Linked DNA regions of Caenorhabditis elegans. The protein of the gene in region 2 interacts with the protein of the main gene of each other region in a pairwise test. Each region holds a gene or a part of one and is shown on either strand. Other genes may lie near its edges.

Region 1 (3,664 bases), 7.0 Mb from region 2:
CATTATCCATTAATCCAACTTCTTGAAGATGACGAGCCGCCAGATGAGAGTTATGAACAAGTTCATCTAGATTTTTACTTCTGTATAATTCGGAAACCTGAAAAAACATGTAAGTTGAATTTAATTCACAATTTATATTTTCAATTGAATTGTGCAACATTTTGAAATTTGGGTAGTACCTCCTTAACCAAAGCATCGTTTTTTGTGATGCGAACTCCATGAAACTGTACAGCTTCGACGATTGAAGGCACTCCGGATGCCTTTGCACGGATGGTCTGTGCCTTGTGGAACGTCTTTTCAGACATTAACCACTAGGTTTCTGGAAAAAAAAAGGTTTTAAATGTTGGCTTTTCAAGCGAAGAACCTCATTTTTGGAAAAGATCTTCAAAATTTCCTATATTGAAAAAATGAGGAACCTTTTTAGAACGTTTTTTTGAAAAAAAATTATTAATATATGAAAGGTTAAGGTTTAAAACCATTTCCAGATCAAAAATTATATTGATTTTTGCAACAAGTTTATGCAAAAATGAGTAAAATGTAAAACAACGCAACAAAATGAGAACAATAAGAAGTAAACAGGGATCAAAATAGAATAAAAATTCAAAAACAAAAAGAAAATCAGGATCTTTCGAGTTCAGCATCCTCCTCATTCTCTTCATCGACTCCGCCCAAATGAATTCTATCGATTTTTGAATTCAACTCCGACTCCAGAAATTCGTCGGGATTGGCGACTTTGTTCAGGTCGTGAACAGCTTTTCCTTTCAGAGTCTGAAAATTTGAAGATAATCAGAATTAAATTACTACAATTACCTCTTCATCTCTTTTCTTTCTCTCCTCCTCATCCAATAGTTTTTTCTCAGCCAACACTTTTTCATACATTGGAACATATTCTTTTTTGTATGCTTCAACACTTTCATCGATTGCTGTCATTACATCTTCGAATCCTTCTCCAGTTGCAGAACTGACGCAAACTGAAATTTATTATTTAAAAAAGGTTTTATTTCGAATAAAAACCTGTTTTCAGTCCGCAATAGAATTCATCAAGAACGAGACTCAATGAACGACTCAAATCATTCATATAACTGCTTCTGGCATCCTCTAAAGCTTCATCAAATCTTTCGAAATCTTGCATCCATTTGAGTGCAAATGTTGGTTTGACAATATCAGCTTTGTTGAAAACGACAATGAATGGAAGTTTGGTACGGTAGAGAATGGAACATGCGTAGAGCATATTGGACATGAATGTAGTTGGATTTGTGGCACGAGCGGAATCCACAATGTACATTACCACCTGAAAAGTCGAAATTAATAAATATGGAGTAGAATCGACTTTTCATTTTGCTTTTAATGATAGAAAATAGACCAAATATAACTGTAAAAAATGTTTAAAAGTCAAAAATTTATTAGAATCTTTTTTCATTTCAAGCAGATTTCATAAATCAAAATCCCTTACCGTGGGATGGCTACTTGCCAATGAATCAGTGATAATAGATCCACTAGCACTCCAAGTGAATGCTTCAATTTGTCCAGGAGTATCAAGAAGACAAACTGAGAAATCAGAAGATCTCTTATTAATCAACTCAATTACTTTATCAAAACGAGTACACATCAGGTTAAGACATGTCATAATTGCTCCATTTGGTCCCATTCCGAATTCTTTCATAACTTCCTTGTATTTCACAGTATCTCGAATGTCAACATTCACTGGATAAGGTACTTTGCTAACTGCCGGATCCAGATTAATCACATATGGAGGTGTTTTACGAGCATGTAGGAATGCTGTGAGACGCTGAAAATAGTAATGTTTGAAAACTCTCAAAATTGAATGAAAGTTACCTGAACAAATGTCGTTTTTCCAGAACCAGCCATTCCAAGAACCAAAATCGATGGTTTTTGATTCACATTTGGTCCAGTTTGAGGTGATGGCTCTTCTGAAGCTTCGGCCGAAGAAGATGGAAGATTTTCAGCTTTTTCAGCCATTTTTGAGAATCTGAATAAATAATCGGTTTTTCTGTTTGAATAATGATTAAAAAGTAGATAGATTCGGCATTTGAACCATTTTGAAAAAATATACACAATCTCAAATGCAGTTTTAAAAATAAAGTAGATTTACAGAAAAAAAAAAGAAATTAAAATAAACAACCGGTAATTGGGAAAAAAATATGGCTCGAATAGGTGAGCATAAAAGTAATTGTTTTTGTTTCAAAAAAAAAAGAGAACTATGGGCAAGAGAAATATCACATGTTCACTGGTTTGTTTTTTCGGAGATTTGTGATTTTAACTAGACGATGTGTAAATACAGTACTACAAAGAATAGGAATACTTAAATACAATTTACAGCATAAAATGATGAAACTGAAGAGATATTGATCCCTAGGATCTTCTTTCCGAAGAACTACTCGGTTGAGTTGGATCATCTGGTATCATTCCTGCATTTCTAGATGCTGATCTAAGATTTGCAGAATAATGTCCGGGACGTCCTTGGCTTGACGATGATGATGTGGAAACAGTTTTTCGTACACTTCCCGGTGCGCATCCTTTCACAATTCTGAATGGATTCATTCGTGGTGATGACGTCATTGTCGCTGGATCGATACGTGGAACTCCAAGAGCTGAACATATCGCCTGAAGTTTCAGACCACGTGCTGTTTGGCGACCCTATAAAGAGAAATAAAATGTATATTCTACCTGAAGGGATAGTTAAATTTCGCTTTCGTTTGGTTTTCGTTTGGTTTTAGCGGCAAATTCAAACGTTTTCAATTAATTTCGCCGATTTCGTCCATTTACAATAACTTTCCGTCTTTTTGGTTATTTTTTCCGTTACCTTGGTGAGCCGTTGCTTTGCTGCCATACACCGAATGTGATCATCGAATATGAACTTTGCAGTTAAAACCGGATGTCTTTTCTGAAACAGAAGTAATTTTTTGATTTTTTTTTCCCGTTAGTATTCTTACCTTAATTCTCGAGGGTTGCCCTTCCACCACAACATGCAAAACTTTCGAATCCGTAGAATCTCCATTAATTGTTGTATCTTGAAGAAGTCCTACGAATCGAACAATTGCCCATCCGGCTTTTCGAGAATCCGGTTCGACAAGAATTAATTGAAGTCTATCAGTGACAAGGAATCGAGCAAGACGATCACCAGGTTTTCCAAGAGAACATAGTTGTTGAGGAACCACAGTGCAGGATAGAAGATCCGAATTATCTGAAAATTGTTAATTTGAGTAGAAATATGGTGTTTTCTATGCAGATGAACTCACGTAAATTAATACAATCACCGATGGCAACTGGTTCCTGATCAGAATTCAACACTCTCACAGGTAATTCTGTGTCTCCTTCACCGGTCAAATCTCGTTCCAATTTTCGAATATGTAGGTAGAATACGATTTGCTGCAAATATATATATAATTAATTTTCAAATTTAAAAAGTTTCCTACAGTTCTTATTCGTTCTTCAAATCCACTGGGCAATCGCTTATGAAGTAGCAGATTCGAAAGAGGAGTTGCAGCTGGAGGAAGAAGCATTTCGTGACCGATTATATCGAAATTCACGTGATTCACCTGAATAAAAAGGATGAATTAAATTATTTTCGGACCTCTTGGCTTACTTCAAATTCTGCATATTCATCCTCAAACCACTCCAAAAACAGATTCTCTCCATTAAC
Region 2 (4,002 bases):
CCATGCGAAAAAATATATCCGCACTTGTCCACGAGGAGTACAAAATTCTTCGTAAATCGACATGGGAAAAACCGTGCCGCGCCGAAGATTTTGCAATCTTGCGGCGCGGTTTTTATGCATGTCGATTTACGGAGAATCCTGTACTACACGTGGACAAGTCTGAGCTATTTTTATATTTTTTTTGCATTTTTTGTAGCTAAAATTCTGGTTTTTGGAGCATTTTTTAAATTTTTTTCAAATTTTACACTGAAAATTGCTAATCGTTTTTAATATATCGTTTTTAATCTAAAATCAATAATTTCGTTGTTTTTTTTTTGAAAAAAATGAAAATTTTCGTTTTTTCCGATTTTTCTGGTTTTTTGGAAGAAAATTGTGTGTTTTCTTATGTTTTTCTTCACAAAAAAATCAGCAAAAATTTCGGCAAAATTGTCCACGTGTAGTACGAAATCCTCCGTAAATCGACATGGGAAAAAGCCTGAAAAATGCCTGAAAAAATTCAATTTTTAGCAGGAATTAAATGGATTTTACGAACCAACAAATTATATAGAATCGGGGAAAAAAAGTGTTTAACAAATTTTAATCAACGGGGAAGAAAAGGCAGAATAAAACAAAAAAAAGTAAGTAGTAACAAATCAACGAAAAAAAATCATTTTTCAGTGCGAAAATTTTTCCAAATTTCCGACCACTACTCCTGCTGCTCCGGATCAAGCTCCTCTGGATAATGATCCTTCACCTCCAAGTCTTCTCCATATTGAATTGTAGTGTCAATTGTCAGTAAAAGCTGATCAATACTCTCCTCATCTTCACAATTCAACGGAACAAACTTCACAATCGAATAATCCTCGAGCACCTGAGCAATAGTTCGCGTCAGCTTCCGATGCTTCGAATTCCAGACAGTCTCGTCTTGATCTACAATTGAGCGGGTATCTGTCTCGAGAAATTCGTCGACCAGTTGCTTATTTCTCTCCGATAACAGATCCATCTTCGTTAGAACATTTATCGCTGGGGTCTCAATTGCAACCATTGCAGAGAGCGCTGTAAGAGCTCCGGAGATGAATTTCTCGGCGTCTAAAACGAAATTCGTGTCGATTAGGAAGACGGAGCACACGTTAAAGTCCCATGATTTGAGAGCATCGACGATCTGACGCATAACTGGAAGATGCGAGTAGAGTTCGATCTGTCCCGGGCAATCGATCACGAAATAGTCGTCTTCTCCTTCGTCAAGCTCGTCGTGGAGCCATTCGAGATTTTGGACAAGGTATCTGGAAAAGAAAATGTTTTTAGAATTATTTTTCCATTTTTTTCCGAATTCTAGGCATACGCCTAAGCCTAAGCCTAAGCCTAAGCCTTAGTAAAATTTTTTTTTTCGATTTTTTTCAGCAAAATTGGAATTTTTTCGGTTTTTTTAAAGTAAAATTGATTTTTTTCGGTTTTTTTTCAGCAAAATTGGAATTTTTTCGGTTTTTTTCAGCAAAATTGGTATTTTTTCGGTTTTTAAGCTTAGGTTTCGGCCAATTTTGCTGAAAAAACAGAAAAAATTCCAATTTTGCTGAAAAAAAAACCGAAAAAATTCCATTTTTGTTGAAAGAAAAAACAAAAAAAAACCATTTTTACCAACAAAAAAACCGAAAAAATTCCAATTTTGTTGAAAAAAACCGAAAAAAATCAATTTTTGCCAAAAAATTCCAATCTTGCTGAAAAAAAATCGAAAAAAAAATCAATTTTTACTAAAAAAAACCGAAAAAATTCCAGTTTTGCCGAAAAAAAAACCGAAAAAAATCCAATTTTGCTGAAAAAAATCGGAAAACTTTCATTTTTGCTGAAAAAACCGAAAAAAAATCAATTTTTAATTTAAAAAAAAACCGAAAAAAATCCAATTTTGCCAAAAAAAAATACATTTTTACCAAAAAATTCAAATTTTGCAGAAAAAACCGAAAAAATCTAATTTTGCCTTCTAGGTTTTAGACAAGGTATCTGAAAAGCCTGAGCCTGAGCCTGAGCCTAAGCCTAAGCCTAAGCTTAAGCCTAAACCTAAATTTAAGCCTAAAGTTTACTCCATGCAAAACACCAGAGCTCCATTAGGTCCCAAAATCAACTCCTCGTCCTCCTGAACATCATTGACACTGATCAAATCGCGAACATCTGAAAAAAATATTCTTATTGTTAGTCCAATTTTTTCGAAAAAAAAAATCCCACCAACAACAGCTGGGTAATTAAAAACTTCACATGCCGGATCCAAATTCACCATTCGCAATGTTCTCCCGGTGCTTAGGCAATGATTATACATTACTGAACAGTAGGTTGACTGAAATTGGATTTTTATATAAAATTTTACAATTTTTCAGCGAGAAAATTTCGAAAAATCTCACTTTTCCACTGCCAGCAGGTCCCATGACAAGTTGCGCGTACTTCATTTTGTGCTGAAATATTAATTTTGAATAATTTTCAAAAAAAATTGCAAAAAAAACACTTGAAAATGTGGATATTCGCCAAAAATCAATAAAAAACACGTCGAAAAAATATTAAAAATTGAAGAAAACCCATTGTTCGATGGAGCAGGTTTGCATTGCACAGAGTCACTAGTGTTTCGGGGGAAGTGGATTTCCCAAAACATTTTAGATTTTCAATCGAATTTCTTTTATAAAACAAAAATGTTCAATAGTTTGATAATAATAATGAATATTTTAATTATAGAAAACTATTATTCTCATAATATTTTGTCTGTTTACGTTGTAACTCTGACAGTCAGGTTTTCCACGGAGTAGCCCATTCCTCATTCAGTAGCGTGTCAATTTGCTTTTTTATCCATTTTTGGCACATTTCAGAGCGATTTTTTAGCAAAAAAATGGACGGATTAACAGATGTGGACACAAAAGATGCCAACGTAATGCTCGGTTCCCTTATTCTTTTCTTCGCTACCGGCTGGCTTTTCTACACAAAACAGCTATTTAAAAATTACGAGGTTTTGAACATTTTTCATTTTTTAAATAGTTTTTTCTCAAATTTTTCATTCAGGTACACAACAGAATTGTCCAGTTCATATTCTCCCTGACATTTGCGTTCTCCTGCAGTTTATTCGAGCTGATTATCTTTGAAATCGCTGGTGTGATGGCCCCGCTGTAAGGAAGCTCTACAGAAACTTTTTCTTGAATTTTTTAAACGAAAAATGCTAAAGAATACCGATTTATGGCCTATTTAAAGTAAAAATTTCCTCTAAAAACAAAAAAAAATCGGCGACGCACAGAAATAGAGGCGGAGCGTAATTTTGCAACCCTGCGGCACGGCTTTTTCTCATTTTTCCGATTCGGAAAAAAATGAAAAAAAAAACAAGTAAAACCTTAATTTTATTGGAAAAAAATCAACAAAAAAGAAGGAAAAAACCGTGCCACAGGATTGCAAAATTACGCTCCGCCTCTTTTTCTGTGCGGCGCTGCTAATTTTGCAAATCACGGGATTTTGGCCTTCCTCATTGAATTTTTCACGCTCCATTGACAATCGCCGGACAACGCATGGGAAAGTCGTGTACTCCACACGGACAAATACATTTATTTCTACAATCGAGCCGCACCGCGCCGTAAATCTACCCCAGATATGACCGAGCCAAAATGGCCTAGTTCGACAAACTCTTCCATTTCAATTTATAGGAGAAGCCAGAAATCGGAGCAAATTTTGAAAAAAAAACACGGTTCTCCCAATTTTTGAGCTCTATTTTTCCACTTTTCTTTTAAAAAACCAGCGAAAAAGTTTTAGTGCGCAAAAAAAAGCAAAAATAGCAAGTGCGCTCCAGTGGACTGAGCGAATTCGGCTGTGGAACAGGGGAGTATTCGGAAAATTTTTCGATTTTTAGCATTTTTTCAGGGAAAATTTCACGGATTTCTGGCTTCCCTCATGACTTGAAATGGAAGAGTTTTTGCCGAACTAGGCCAGGCCATATCTGGGGTAGATTTACGGCGCGTTGCGTGTCGCGTCGCGGCTCGATTGTAGTCCGCGTGGAGTACACGA
Region 3 (3,004 bases), on a different chromosome or scaffold from region 2:
AAGATAAAGGAATGATTGTGAGTCAATTTTCTTTCTGATTGGTTTTAACTGCAAACAATTTTAGATGATTGATGGTGATAACATCCGTAACCTAAACATCAGTTCACTTCGCGAACAAGTATGTATTGTAAGTCAAGAGCCAACGTTGTTTGATTGCACAATTGGAGAAAATATTTGCTACGGAACAAATCGAAATGTTACATATCAAGAAATTGTTGAAGCTGCCAAAATGGCAAATATTCACAATTTCATTCTAGGATTGCCAGATGTAGGGTGATATTTTCATAAATCAGAACTCATTCTAAAAATTTCAGGGTTATGATACTCATGTCGGAGAGAAAGGAACTCAACTTTCGGGTGGTCAAAAACAAAGAATTGCCATTGCACGGGCACTTGTTCGATCTCCTTCTGTTTTACTTTTGGATGAAGCAACTAGTGCATTAGATACGGAAAGTGAAAAGGTTTGTATGAAAAATATTGAAATAGCAAATTGACTTTGAAGAATATCGTTTTATTCACTGTTTACAGATTGTACAAGAAGCATTGGACGCCGCAAAACAAGGTCGCACGTGTCTTGTCATTGCTCATCGGTTGAGCACAATTCAAAATAGTGACGTCATTGCGATCGTCAGTGAGGGTAAAATTGTGGAAAAGGGAACACATGACGAGTTGATAAGGAAGAGTGAAATATATCAGAAATTCTGTGAAACGCAGAGGATTGTCGAAAGTCAATAATTTAAATATGTATTAGATTCTCAAACACGAGTTTACAAACTAATTTGCATGGAGTTTCATTTTTTTAATGTTCAATTGAAACAGCTTGATATTTAAAATTTAAATATGCTCATCAAGTAAAATTTTTAGAAAATTTTGTAAACCCGTAATAATTTTTTTGTCATCTAGGTACTTTGCTTTTTCCCCAAATAGCCTTTCCCTCCATCTTGTGTATTTTGTGTGAAATTCTTTGAATTGTGATAATTATCTTTGAATTGTGATAATTGTCTTTTTGTTTTCTTTTTTAAATATATTATTTACCATTTTCACTGCATAAATATTTTTATTTGAAAAAAAACTACTCATCATTCAATATGTAGAATCTAAAATAGGATTTCTTTAGACTATTATATTTTTAATTTAACTTTTTTACTGTAGTTTCATTACACCTATTTCAATTTAAGATCAATGAAACATCCAATCTAAATTTGACGAAGATTGATAAAAGAATCTCTAGAAGATCAAAAATTGGAAATGCTGTGAAAAATTGTAAGGCTGAACAAAATACACGCTCTTTGAATTGGAGGGCATTCGAAGGAAAGTGCTACAGTGTTTGAAAATTTATTTTAAAAGCAATAATAGACCATAAAAATCGAAGGTAACATTGTTTTCATCGACGACTTCCAAACAAGTGGCAAAAAGTGAGATTTTTCCAATTTTCAAAAATTCATATAAACTTTAGAATTTTTTTTTGAATGTTATCACTATTATTTTTTATTAAGTTACAGGAGTTTGATATGAAGTCACGACGTTTTGCTAATAGTAAGAAGGCAAGTGATGAGAAAAGTGAGAAGTGCCTTTCACGACTCAACCGTATGAAATGTATTAATCGGCCCCATAGAAAATATATTTCTCTAAAAATACAATAACATTTTTAATTTAAAAATAACGTGTAACATGTGTTCTACGTGTTCTACAAAAAATATCTGATAGTCATCATCCAGAAAAAAAAATTTCCTTCATCTCAATCCACATCACAATCATTAATTGTTATTTCTGATCAGCTCTCTTCTGGTTGAAAAAGTGAGTTTACTCTTTAGAAACGTGCGATTTCAGACAGCTTGAAATTGGCTTGATGCTCTGCTTAATGTTTTGTTTCAACAAAACAATTGATTTCTTTCGGCAAATCGGAAGTCACATATTTTTGCTGCTTAACAACTGATATCAACGGACCATTTTCAGACTTTCGATTCATCGAAGTAAAACAAAGAAATGACGACTGGAAAGAGTAAAAACACGAAGAAAGACTGTGCTGACAAGAAGAAAACTTCGAAAACGAAGAAGAAGACTTCAAATTTGTCGGTTTCAAGATCCCAAACTTCTGTGGATATGAATGAGAAGGACAAGGCAAAGGAGGCAAAGGAGTTGAAAGAGAAGAAGGCAAAAGAAGAAGCCGAGAAGAAGGTTGTTGCCACACCGAAGAAAGATGCCTCGAAGGATCATGCAAAGAAGGAGGATGATCCTAATAAGGTAACAGTTACGATTTTGAAGTTGATTAGGAAAACACACTGCTAAAAATTTCTTTTGGAAAAAGTTGAGAATATGAACAATTTCAGCAAAACGAGCCAAGTGGAATGGATGTTCTTGTGAAGGAGGACGGCAAGAAGACAAAGATGGACGATGGATACGAGGATTTTGGTCCAGGAGCTGGTGCTGCTCAATGAGCAACTGTCCGAGAAACTGAATCGAAAGGGAACAATTCAATATTGTATTGTAATAAAAGTTTTTTTAAAGTTCGGTGTTTGTGGTTGCAAGTATCTGATTTTGAAGCAAGACATTACACGGGGCCACCCGCCAGGGCTGTTCAGCAACCGGGAATTGTAAGAACAAATGTTGCATTAAAAATCTGCTGGAAGGGCACGAGGAAGAGTAGTGAAAAATACTTGTGAAATATTGTTCGCCACTTGCAAAATGCATCCAAAATATTCGCTAAGTATTTTACAAACGGCATGCGCAGTCTCATTTGGTTTTCAGTTTTTTCCCAAGTGTTTCAGAAAGAGAACACCAGGTCAGTTCCTCGTCCAATTCTTTGTCATTCGGAAATTAATGACATCATCAACTTCTTATCACTATTATCAAAAGAAGAAAAAGAGATCAGCGAATTTCACAGAAAACAACGAAAAATAAAAAAGAAGAGATGAAGGTAAAAGACAAAAAACTGTTACAAAAAAATGAAAAAGGGACGGAGAATCGCCTCGTCTTCATTTTAACTTCATCAGTTTGCCCTGAA

The links. Proteins that work in one complex are often made in the same cells at the same time.
Region 1: the proteins of gex-4 (region 2) and gop-2 interact in a two-hybrid assay, tested with the Caenorhabditis elegans proteins (one large-scale study listed by BioGRID).
Region 3: the proteins of gex-4 (region 2) and C34G6.3 interact in a two-hybrid assay, tested with the Caenorhabditis elegans proteins (one large-scale study listed by BioGRID).

Annotation. Positions count from the first base shown.
Region 1 is NC_003281.10:5,257,349-5,261,012, reverse strand, and holds gop-2 (GPN-loop GTPase 1), read right to left. Parts: upstream 1,991-3,664; 5' UTR 1,981-1,990; coding exon 1,837-1,980; intron 1,790-1,836; coding exon 1,454-1,789; intron 1,292-1,453; coding exon 1,015-1,291; intron 972-1,014; coding exon 811-971; intron 769-810; coding exon 619-768; 3' UTR 501-618; downstream 1-500. Other genes in the region: SAM50-like protein gop-3, read right to left, coding at 1-97, 180-305; gop-1 (Protein CLEC16A homolog), read right to left, coding at 2,374-2,658, 2,825-2,905, 2,955-3,205, 3,261-3,390, 3,438-3,560, 3,608-3,664. UniProt on the Caenorhabditis elegans protein: Small GTPase required for proper nuclear import of RNA polymerase II (RNAPII). May act at an RNAP assembly step prior to nuclear import.
Region 2 is NC_003281.10:12,216,215-12,220,216, forward strand, and holds gex-4 (GPN-loop GTPase 3), read right to left. Parts: upstream 2,421-4,002; 5' UTR 2,415-2,420; coding exon 2,370-2,414; intron 2,306-2,369; coding exon 2,197-2,305; intron 2,143-2,196; coding exon 2,055-2,142; intron 1,263-2,054; coding exon 686-1,262; 3' UTR 565-685; downstream 1-564. Other genes in the region: gphr-1 (Golgi pH regulator), read left to right, coding at 2,846-2,962, 3,016-3,119.
Region 3 is NC_003279.8:5,894,902-5,897,905, forward strand, and holds C34G6.3 (Non-histone chromosomal protein HMG-14), read left to right. Parts: upstream 1-1,716; 5' UTR 1,717-1,797; intron 1,798-1,956; 5' UTR 1,957-1,986; coding exon 1,987-2,244; intron 2,245-2,330; coding exon 2,331-2,438; 3' UTR 2,439-2,504; downstream 2,505-3,004. Other genes in the region: pgp-2 (ABC-type xenobiotic transporter), read left to right, coding at 1-17, 65-268, 315-461, 529-735.